3 linked regions of the Macaca fascicularis genome follow. The protein of the gene in region 2 purifies or fractionates together with the protein of the main gene of each other region. This does not show direct contact. Links are inferred from orthologs where the notes say so. Each region holds a gene or a part of one and is shown on either strand. Other genes may lie near its edges. The genes, in order: SMARCD3, BCL7A and ARID1A.

Region 1 (3,648 bases), on a different chromosome or scaffold from region 2:
TCAAGTGGGGATGAAAGGACCTGCTCAGACTGTCTTGTAGAGGAGCATGTGGATGTGAACATCTTTGAAAGGTTGAAAGAAGCCATTAATATTCATTTTTGCGGTACCTTCCGTAGCCCCGAGGCTCGCAATGCCCTGTGCGGTGCCTGGCTTCAGTTAGCTTCCTACAGCCAGACGCCAAGCCCCTCCGCCAGAGCCGCGCGTATTCCGGCGCCCCTGCCCCTCCTACCCATCGTTCCCACCCATCGCTCAGCGCTCAGGGTCACCAGCCGAGGGTCTGGTGGGGGAGGGGAGACGCCGGCTCACCGCGCCTGGAGCTGGGGGCCCTGGTCTGACCCACGGGCGCCCGTTTCTGCTTCACCCCCGCCCACCCACAGCGCCCCGGGATGCCGTCTGGAGCCCGGATGCCCCACCAGGGGGCGCCCATGGGCCCCCCGGGCTCCCCCTACATGGGCAGCCCCGCCGTGCGACCCGGCCTGGCCCCCGCGGGCATGGAGCCCGCCCGTAAGCGAGCAGCGCCCCCGCCCGGGCAGAGCCAGGCACAGAGCCAGGGCCAGCCGGTGCCCACCGCCCCCGCGCGGAGCCGCAGGTGAGTGGGAGGCCCGGCGCGGAGTGGGCGTGCAGGGGCGGGCCCTGGGGACCCGCAGGGACCAGGTGAGAGAGTAGCGGGGATTGGAAGAGGTGAGGAAGAATGATTAGCAGGGAGCGAGGCTTCCCGGATCGGATGCCCTCTGGGGAGGTGGGCTTAGGGGGCACCGGCCTGATTCTTTTGTGTGCCCACGGTAGAGACAGGCTGTGGCCGTCGGCAGCCGGTACCGCTTCCCTGCACGCTCCCCTCACCCTTCTCCTTGTCACCTGCTCAGTCCCTCTCTCCACCCATCAGGTTCTGGGTGATGCTTAAGTCTTTGGGTTGGGGGCGGGGCTTCCAGTGGGACTGAGGGCAGAGCTGTAGGACTGTGTTGCCCAAAGTGTAGTTCTCCGCTGAGCCTTCCTGCCAGACCCCGGACTGTTTCAAAGCCACTCCAGATTTTCTCAATGGGACTCTCTGGCCCTGGGGGTGGAGCTTGGGGATTTGCCCTGTGGTAGGTGGTCTCTGCCCAGTTCCGCTCTTAATTCTTAGGCACTCTGGACCAGGTCTGCTCCCAAGCCACCAGGGCCAGCCCATTGCCTTATTTTCCTCCAGCAGCTGGTGGCACCCTCAAAGCCCCTGCTGGCTCCTGGCAACAGCAGTGCCCCTCTGGATTTCAGTATTTAGCCAAATACACATGCTTTTTTTGCACAACAGATGGATTTCTATAAAAGGTGTAATATCAATTTTACCTCATTATTAAGTATTTTTTACACATCAGGGAAAATTCACCACTTATAGGAATCCCATGATGAATTATTTTGTAAAGTGCATCGTCATTTTGTACAGCAAACGGTAATTCCCTGATTTATCTTGTATAAATGGAGAGTTACACAAAGATAATCTGTCTAAAACAAACCAGACCTTTAATGAAATCTGCTTGTTAGCCTTAGATTTCTGCATAGGGAGGGGGTAGTGGTTGAGAACACCACACGGGGGCAGTATGGAGCTATTCTCTAGGCTGCGTTTTCATCTCTTGACCCGCCAAGGTTTTTCTGGGGGTTTTTGGGTTAGTCAGCAGCAGCTAGTGGGTCAGAAAGAGCTCACATCCAGCTGCTACTACCCTGGGCCTAGTCAATTTGGCCTCAGCCTGAAGTCACACCCATGCACATTCTGGGCGCCTATGGCTGCAGCATGTCCCTCACCTTGTTGCCAGGTAGTCCCAGGGCATGAGTACCCCTGCTCATCAGCATTCTCTTGCAAGCCCAGGGTGCCTGGAAGGGATGCAAGTCCCGCCAGCTTCACACCATCACCTCCGCTCCATGGATAGGAAGGAAGTCGTCTATCTCCCTCCCTCTGAGCTTAGAATCCTTTGGACAGGGCACCCCCTGCTTTCCAGAAAAGGTCCTCAGACCTGGCTTCCCTCTCCTTTGTCCTCCCTCATCCCCACCTTTCCTCAAACACTTCTGCAGCTCCCATCTTTTGGCAGCACCACCCCCACTCGCCAGTCCCTCCTAAGTCTAAATTTCTCTGTCCCTAAGGATGTGGCAGGTTAGAAGGGGGCTCCCAGGCCAGAGAATGGACGGGTCACCCCTGTGTCCTTAGAGAGGACAGAGCACCAGTTCCACACACCACCGTCATAGCCCTTGGGCGGGCAGACAAGCGGGCTGTGGGAACCCCAGCCAGGCGGGCGGAGATGTCGGGATAATTTAGCAGGTGGCCTCGTTACTCCCAGATCTGTCGCCATGGTAACCTGGTTTTTTCTTTAAAAAATGTACAGTGCCAAGAGGAGGAAGATGGCTGACAAAATCCTCCCTCAAAGGGTGAGTGTCTTTCACAGCAGCCCCCAGCCCACCCCCTACCCTTTGCTGCTCTGCCCTCCCCTCCCCCCTCAAAAGCAGAGCTTCAGTGTCACAGTCACTTTCACTTTTTGTTTAAAAAAACTCATTAATAAGTGAGGCTCCCTAGGCCAGAGGGAGGGGGTGAGGTGGAGGGAAGCAGCAGAGCCACTGGGGCCAGAACACAGGGGCCTGTCAGGGGGCTGGATCCAAGTGGTACTAAGACAGAGTTGTGGGACAAGAAGGGGGCAAGAGCTAGGGGATCAAAAGCTGCCAGGCAGAATGAAGGGGATAGAAGGTGGCCAGAGATCCTGAGCATCCTAAAGGGACCCAGGTCCAGCTGGATATGGGGGACAGCACAGTTGGGACAGGTGTGGGGGCTGAGCAATGTGCCAGCAAAGAAGAAAGCACTGCTGTCCAACTGTCCCAGGGATTGAGCCCCTACTAGGCACTTTGCAGGGGCCCAGGGGAAGCCCAGTGGGCATATGACATAGAAAATGACAGGATGAGGAGACTAAAGGCTAGTGCTTTGCTGGGTTCCACAGTTGCTACCTCCTCCCCGTGATGATACACAAGGCTCTTCCTAAAGGGAGAAGCAATTGTTATCCCTACACAGCAAGGCCCCTACTGCTGGATAATGGCATCCTGGGGAGAGGTCCTGTTCCCACTGTCAAAGCTCCATGCCCAGAAGTAGGATGGCTCCCCCGACATCTTTTGCACCCTAGGATTGCACAACATGCATACATTCCATGGTACAACCCTGGACTCGAGCCTCTGACTCCTGCCCTGCTCCTCCTCCTCCAGATTCGGGAGCTGGTCCCCGAGTCCCAGGCTTACATGGACCTCTTGGCATTTGAGAGGAAACTGGATCAAACCATCATGCGGAAGCGGGTGGACATCCAGGAGGCTCTGAAGAGGCCCATGAAGGTGCCTTAGTTCGGGGGTAGGAAGGGGACTCTTGAGTCGCGTGACCAGGATGGGGAAGCAAGGTAGTCAGGGTGGAAGCACACAGCATTTGCCCGGTTCTACACTCTATTTCTACAGCAAAAGCGGAAGCTGCGTCTCTATATCTCCAACACTTTTAACCCTGCGAAGCCTGACGCTGAGGACTCCGATGGCAGCATTGCCTCCTGGGAGCTACGGGTGGAGGGGAAGCTCCTGGATGATGTACGTCCCGGCCCAGGTCTCTCCAGGTGTCCTGGGGTGGGCACGGGCTGCACTGAGAACAGAACAAAGTGTCTG
Region 2 (3,648 bases):
ATAGTGAGGCCCCATCTCTACAAAAAATTTAAAAATTAGCCAGATGCAGTGGCACATGCCTGTGGCCCCAGCTACCCAGGAGGCAGAGGCAGGAGGATAGCTTGAGCCTAGAAGTTCAAGGCTGCAGTGAGCTATGATTCTGCTGCTGTACTCCAGCCTGGGTGACAGAGCAAGACCCTGTCTCTAAAAATAAAAAATACATAGATGGCTGGGCGTGGTGGCTCACTCCTGTAACCCCAGCATTTTGGGAGGTTGAGGTGAGCAGATCACCTAAGGTCAGTAGTTCAAGAGCAGCCTGGCCAACACGGCGAAACCCCGTCTCTACTAAAAAATAATAACAATAACAAAAATTAACTGGGCATGGTGGTGCATGCCTGTAATCCCAGCTACCTGGGAGGCTGAGGCATGAGAATCGCTTGAACCAGGAGGTGGAGATTATAGTGAGCCGAGATCGCGCCACTGCACTCCAGCCTGGGTGACAGACTCCATCTCAGAAAACGAAATAGAGTGACTATGTGCTTGAGAAGGGGGTGCAGGACAAGGGGAGGTGCAGCCTGGGCCCCAGCTCTGCCCGCAGCCCCACTGTGGATGCCATTGCCAATTACCCCTTCTCTTTCTTCTTTGTATTGTAAAGAGTTTTGTTGTCAAGAACAATAGGGAGGGGGATACAATCCCCCTATACACTCCACTTTGATTTTCATGAACATGATGCCATATTTGTCTCATCTATTTTTTCGATGTGTTAAATTTTTGTAATTAAAATATAATTCACATATAAAAAATACACAGCTAGTGGCCAGGTGCGGTGGCTCACACCTGTAATCCCAGCACTTTGGGAGGCTGAGGTGGGCAGATCGCCTGAGGCCAATAGTTTGAGACCAGCCTGGCCAACATGGTGAAACCTGTCTCTACTAAAAATACAAAACTCAACCAGGTATGGTGACAGGCGCCTGTAATCTACTTGGGAGGCTGAGGCAGGAGAATTGTTTGAACCCGGGAGGCGGAGGTTGTAGTGAGCCCAGACTGCACCATTGCACTCCAATCTGGGCAACAGAGTGAGACTCTGTCTCAAAAAAAAAAAAAAAGTGTAAAAGTTCAGAGCATCCTAACACTGGCCTGCAGCCTGCACTGAAGCATTTTCTGGTAAATTTCCCTGCCTCATGACATTCAAGTCTGCACCTAAACGTCACAGCATGCATTGCTAAAAACAGGATGTTTCTACATACCCACTGTCCCATGATCATTTCTAACTAAATTAACCAACAGTTCCTTAATAGCTTTTAAAACCCAGACCATATTCAAATTCCCCAATTGTTCCAAAGTGTTACAGCTGGCACCTTCGAAACAGGATGCAAATAATTTCCATACATCATATTTAGTCGAGTCTCCTAGCTTTCTTTATTCTAAAATCATCTCCCCTCCCCCACTTTTTTTGAATTTTTTTTTAATATGATACTGACTTTAAGGGAGTGGACCATGTGTCCCGTGGAATGTGCCACCTCCCGCTGTCTCTCTCTCCTTTTTATTTCCTATCAAGTGGAACTCGGCTCCGGGCTGCATCAGTCAGACAGAACGTCTTGGCAGCCCCGCCTCACGGACCATGCCATGTCTTCCGTATCGCTTCTCTGCCAGACACACAATGCATCTGGTTTCCACCCCCAGAATGAGGCCTCAAATGTCCCCCCAAGATTTTAAATATGTGAGGCCACTGTCCCCAGCTGGCTGCCTGCAGACACAGGGTACAGTTGGCTCAGTGTGGGGAAGGTCAGGCCAGCGCCGGAATTCTTTGCCTCTCTGGACACATGGGACGGCTGTGGTGCTTGGGTGGATGGGGGTGGGGGCGGGAGTGAGCTCAGGGGTCCCAGGAGGAGGAGTATCCAGTATCCAGACCCCTACCGCATGGCCGGGTGCAGTGGCTCATGCCTGTAATCCCACCACTTTGGGAGGCCAAGGTGAGCAGATCACCGGAGGTCTAGAGTTCAAGACGGGCCTGGCCAACGTGGTGAAACCCTGTCTCTACTAAAAATACAAAAGTAACCAGGAGTGGTGCCTGTAATCCCAGCTACTCGGGAGGCCGAGGCAGGAGAATCACTTGAACCCGGGAGGAGGAGGTAGTGAGCTGAGATTGCACCACAGTCCTCCAGCCTGGTTGACACAGTGAGATCCATCTCAAAAAAAAAAAAAAAAAACCGATAACCAGGCCCCTCCCCGGTGGGAGAGCTGCTGTGGGGTTCCGGGCATTGAGGCACAGGGATGCCGAGTCCTCCGACCTGCCCGTCCTTGGCAGCTGTGGGATTTCATCCTGTGGTTCTGTTCCCACACCCCACAGACGACAACAGCAACCAGAGCTCCATCGCAGATGCCTCCCCCATCAAACAGGAGAACAGCAACAACTCCAGCCCCGCTCCAGAGCCCAACTCGGCTGTGCCCAGCGACGGCACCGAGGCCAAGGCAGACGAGGCCCAGGCTGATGGGAAGGAGCACCCAGGAGCTGAAGGTACGTGGCCTCTGGAGGTGGCTCTGACGGCCTCCCTGTAACCGGCCTTCAGGCAGTCTGTGGCTAGGTGTTCCAGGAGGCCCTGTCATGTGCCAGCCACAGCACGGAGACAGTAAAGAGAGGTGACACCTGGAGTACATGGTCTCATGGGGGAATTAAAAAAATCAGACAGGCCAGGTGCAGTGGCTCATGCCTGTAATCCCTGCACTTTAGGAGGCCAAGGTGTGAGGACTGCTTGAGCCCAGAAGTTCAAGACCAGCCTGGGCAACATAGCAAGACCTCATCTCTACCAAAAAAAAAAAAAAATTAGCCAAGTGTGGTGGCACACAGCTGTGATCCCAGCTACTCAGGAGGCTGAAGTCAGAGGATCACTTGAGCACAGGAGGTCAAGGCTACAGTGAGCCGTGATCATGCCTCTGCACTCCAGCCTGTGTGACAATAAGACCCTGTCTCAAAAATAAGTAAATAAATAAAAATCAAACAATCGGCCAGGCATGGTGGCTCACACCTGTAAATCCTAATGCTTTGGAAGGCTGAAGCGGGAGGATCACTTGAGGCCAAGAGTTTGAGACCAGTCTGGGCAGCATAGCAAGATCCTGTCTCTACAAAAAAATGTTTTAAAATGAGCCGGGCATGGTGGCATGTGCCTATCTGTGGTCCCAGCTACTCAGGAGGCTGAGGTGGGAGTATCCCTTGAGCCCAGGAGTTGGAGGTTGCAGTGAGCCGTGATCACACAACTGAACTCCAGCCTGGGTGACAGAGTGAGACCCTGGCTCAAAATATAATTATATTAATAAAAATGTTTAAATATGTTTAAAAATCAGACAACCTAGTATTAGGGAGATAAGTGTGGTGGAGAATTATAAAGTCGGAAAGGGATGGGGGTGGGGGGTCTTGCTGAATGACCAGGGGAGTTGCAATTTTAAATGGGGTGGTCAGGGGCAGCCTTTGAACAAGACGAGGCTCAGACTGGGCAAGTGAGCAAGCCGTATGGGGATCTGGGAGGAGAGCAGTGTGGGCAGAGGGAAGAGTGAGTGAGGAGCTGGAAAATAAGACGGGGACTGGGTGCAGTGGCTCACACCTGTAATCCCAGCACTCTGGGAGGCCAAGGCAGGCAGATCACTTGAGGTCAGGAGTTCTAGACCAGCCTG
Region 3 (3,648 bases), on a different chromosome or scaffold from region 2:
CCCGCCATGCCTCCGGGGTTCCTGAAATAAACCTCCATGTCGTCCATCCACCAAGCCCGGGTTGGCTGGAGGCACCCCCAGGGTTGCCCCATCAGTGAGGCTACTCTGAAGATAACACAATGTAGAAGGCAGTTCCTGTCTGGGAGATGACACACACCAGCCCCTCATGGCTTCTAAGCTGTCTGTCTAGGACATCACTGCATGGCAATGTTTTGAAGGAAAACTTTTAGTTAGCTTATTTCTTCCTTTTCCAAAGTTCTTTGGTTCTATTTTAGTCAATACTGGACCAGATTCAACCTCATCCAGAATATTAAGGTGGAGGGAACAATGGACAAGACGGAAAGGGGCAGATTAGGCAACCGAATGAGGGAGATCTCCTTACCAATGTCTTTCATTGTGAGCCGCCTCCTCTGCTTCAACACAGGCTGTGTGGCTTCAACAGAGCCAGGTGGGAAGGTGATATCCCGCCGAATCATGGGGGGCTGCACAGGGGCAGGTGCTATGTGTGAGGCAGGTACTGGGGGACCTGCCTTCTGCATTTTCATCCCAGAGTGCAGGAATGGAGACTTGCTAGGAGAGGTGCGGTTCTCCATTGGCCGGGGCAGGGGAGCAGGGCTGGATACCTGAGGAATGTGATTCTGCATGCTTGGCGGGGGCTGGTAGTTAGATGGAGGGGGCCTTGTCATGGGGGGCACAGGGGCAGAGGGACCATATGGGGGCTGGCGTGTGCCATGGGAAGGCCACGGGCCTTCATGGTTGGCCCTCTGATCTGTGTGCAGCATTTCATCTGTTCGGTTCACGCCATGATAGGCGGGGCCCTGGGGAGCAGAGCCCGTGCTCTGCCTGTTGGCATAATTATAGGTCATGTCATTACGCCCCTGCCACATGGTGCCTTGCTGAGCAACCTCAGCTGATGCCTGTATGGGGCCGCCCATCATTTGCGGTGGCATGTTTTGCTGGGCATTGGTGCCAGGGGGTGCAGAGACACGGTCTCGGCCAAACTGGAATGGAAATTGGTTCTGGGGGCCGCCTGCTGGTCGGCGCTCAGTAGCAGCGGTGGCAGTGGCAGGATAGGCATTGCCATATTGGTTGTATACATCTTGCTGAGGGGAAGGCTGGGCAGCTTGTTGCTGGCTGGCAGGCTGGGGCTGGGCTGGGGGCAACTGCTGCTGCTGAGGTTGCCCCTGCCCAGTGCTGTATGGCACGCTGTACATCTCCCCTTCATGCCGCTTGGCAGGAGGGCCATATGTGCCATCCATTGGCCGCTTGTAATTCTAAGGCAGAGACAAGCAGAGGGGAAGTTAATACTCTGCACTCAGGGACATAAAGCCCACAGATGCCGAGATGGCTACAACTAGATGCCTGGTGGCCATAGACTCCAAGGAAACATGGGAATCACCTTAACAAATTATTTTTTGAAGTTGTTTCCAAAAGCAACCACCACTCTTTCTTCCCCTCCCTTGCTCTAAGTAGAAAAATATACAAAACCTAACGATCAAAATAAGGTCTATTTCTAGCCCCTTCCAACTCCAAATAGAGAAGAGATTGAGGACTTGGCTCTTCAAGCAGGACTGGCCAGTCAGGTGAGAGAAGAATGCCAAAATATCTAAAGTGAGCTTCTTAGACTTCAACACGTTAGTTTACTAACTAGCTTTGAAGACGAACCTGCATGCCGGTCCATTCCCAGCTACCCTCCTCACCTGCTGCTGCTGTTGATACATTGTGGTCTGCTGGCTGGGGAAGGGGCTGCCAGAAGGGGTACCTTGGGTGGAGAACTGATTGCCATAGGAATCATGTCTACAGGAGGCAAAGAAACACAGGATCAGGGTGGGCAGTGGCAAAGCCTGAGAAACAGCAGCACCAAGACCAGGCTTTACTCACCGTTGCTGCTGCTGCTGCTGCTGCGGAGGGTAGCGGCTAGGAGAATACATCCCCGAGTCTGGGTTGGAAGGCATGAGATTAGGCTGTGGGGCCCCAGTGCTCATGTTTCCCTCAGGCCCTATTCCAGGCTCCGTCCTAAACAAAATTGAAGAGACAGATTGAGCCCACTATAGCCTCAGGGTGCTGGCGGGTGGACAGGAGCTGGGGTCATGCTTACCTCACTCTGTCATAAGGACCTCCATAGGGATAGTGCTGTCGTGGTCCCATCGCCACATTTCCTAGCCCAGGGCCAGCAGCACGACTGTAGGGGTCACCCATCCCGCCGTTGGGGCCCTGCCCTGAGGACATGAAGGGATCACTCCCTGGAGCTGAGTGTAGAAAGGCAAGCAGTGAACAAACTGGTAAGTTGGCAAAGCTGGTAATATATATTTGTCTGCTCCAAAGACCCAGGCCCTCTTCAAGTTTGATCTCATTGTTTTCCAGACAAGTTCAAAACAGAGATCTAAAGAGGCCCCAACCAGCAAAAGGCATGTACTTGTTAAGGGATGACAAGGTGAGGTCAAGGAGGAGACAAGAAAGGAGGTAGGGATGAAGAGGGGTAGTTAGGGCAGGAAATGCATTATCTCAGAAGATGGCTCCACAAGAACCCTGAGCCACTCTCAAGATTTCCCACCATTTCACTGGTCCCATCTTTACGAGCACAAGCTCAAATAGCAATCAGATCAGTCACCTTTCCTCATGCTGCCATAAGGATCCTTATTTGGCTCATAGGACATGCGCCCCATCATGTCAGAGGTATTCATACTGGGCTGATACCCAGGGTTTGGAGTCATGGAATTCCGCTTCTGGAATGTGGAGTCACTTCCATCATTAAAGGCATCCTGGATCCCAACCGAATTGCTCCTGCTCCAGAGTGAGGAAAACCAATTAGACCACAAATAGACCCATTTCTCCAATGTAACACAGGACACGCAGTAGTCACTGGCTGGGAAGGCAGAGGCAAAGACCACCCTTTGGCTGCAAAGGAGTTCCCATGCACTTATCTCCAGCCATACCTCCCAACCATCTGCCCCTGCTCTTGGCCATACCTCATGCCTGGCAATGGGGGGATCTGACTGTGTGGTGTGGATGCTGGAGTTGGTGGCTTTAAGTCTCCTCCTTCTGCCATGGAACTGCTGGTTGACTGAGGAGTCTGGGGCCCCTGCATAGATCCTGATCCCGCTGTGGACAGAGATACAATTTGAGCAGTTTGCTTGGCATGAAAGTGTTTAACTCTCACACAAACACACGAATGACCCAGAATCTCTTTGGGAAAGTTCTTCCTAAGGCCTTTAAAGCCTGATCACCCTTCTTAGCAGAGGATCTACAAGGCCAGGTCATGAAGACGGGAATTTGAGGGTTTTGTAGCTCTTTGTTTTTGTTTTACATGTAGAAAAGAGGAGTGATGTGGCCATGACATCACCATGCTGGTGATTCCTTGAGTCACTGCCAGCTTCCCTGGCTATTTCTTTTCACTCCTCCAAAGGACCTTGTCTAACCTATTAAACCCTGTAATGCTGGTGCATGAGCTCCAGTCAGAACCTCCCAAATCCTGGGTAGGGAGGGGCTTCCAAATCTGGGATGTATTTTAGGAGTCTAGGAGCTCCTGTTCTGAAGCATCCAGCTTGGTGTCATCTCTCAAGTTCAAATGTTCTTCTAAGCTGATGAGTACAAAACTACTAGTAATTAATGTTTCCAATAGTTACCATTCCTGGCAGTAGATATCCC

Evidence for each region.
Region 1: the proteins of BCL7A (region 2) and SMARCD3 purify together in Homo sapiens (affinity purification with mass spectrometry; 4 studies listed by BioGRID and IntAct, counting the BioPlex papers as one, with this or other methods). This does not show direct contact. The link is inferred for Macaca fascicularis from reciprocal best matches to the Homo sapiens genes BCL7A and SMARCD3.
Region 3: the proteins of BCL7A (region 2) and ARID1A purify together in Homo sapiens (affinity purification with mass spectrometry; 5 studies listed by BioGRID and IntAct, counting the BioPlex papers as one, with this or other methods). This does not show direct contact. The link is inferred for Macaca fascicularis from reciprocal best matches to the Homo sapiens genes BCL7A and ARID1A.

The regions. Positions count from the first base shown.
Region 1 is NC_088377.1:192,524,394-192,528,041, reverse strand, and holds part of SMARCD3 (SWI/SNF-related matrix-associated actin-dependent regulator of chromatin subfamily D member 3), read left to right. Parts: exon of another isoform or gene 1-71; intron 72-377; coding exon 378-589; intron 590-2,348; coding exon 2,349-2,391; intron 2,392-3,210; coding exon 3,211-3,333; intron 3,334-3,450; coding exon 3,451-3,573; coding exon of another isoform or gene 3,574-3,589; intron 3,590-3,648. UniProt on the Homo sapiens protein: Involved in transcriptional activation and repression of select genes by chromatin remodeling (alteration of DNA-nucleosome topology).
Region 2 is NC_088385.1:129,140,645-129,144,292, forward strand, and holds part of BCL7A (B-cell CLL/lymphoma 7 protein family member A), read left to right. Parts: intron 1-2,329; coding exon 2,330-2,497; intron 2,498-3,648.
Region 3 is NC_088375.1:208,334,892-208,338,539, forward strand, and holds part of ARID1A (AT-rich interactive domain-containing protein 1A), read right to left. Parts: intron 3,103-3,648; coding exon 2,970-3,102; intron 2,788-2,969; coding exon 2,612-2,787; intron 2,250-2,611; coding exon 2,099-2,249; intron 2,017-2,098; coding exon 1,882-2,016; intron 1,798-1,881; coding exon 1,701-1,797; intron 1,275-1,700; coding exon 383-1,274; intron 198-382; exon of another isoform or gene 22-197; coding exon 1-21. UniProt on the Homo sapiens protein: Involved in transcriptional activation and repression of select genes by chromatin remodeling (alteration of DNA-nucleosome topology).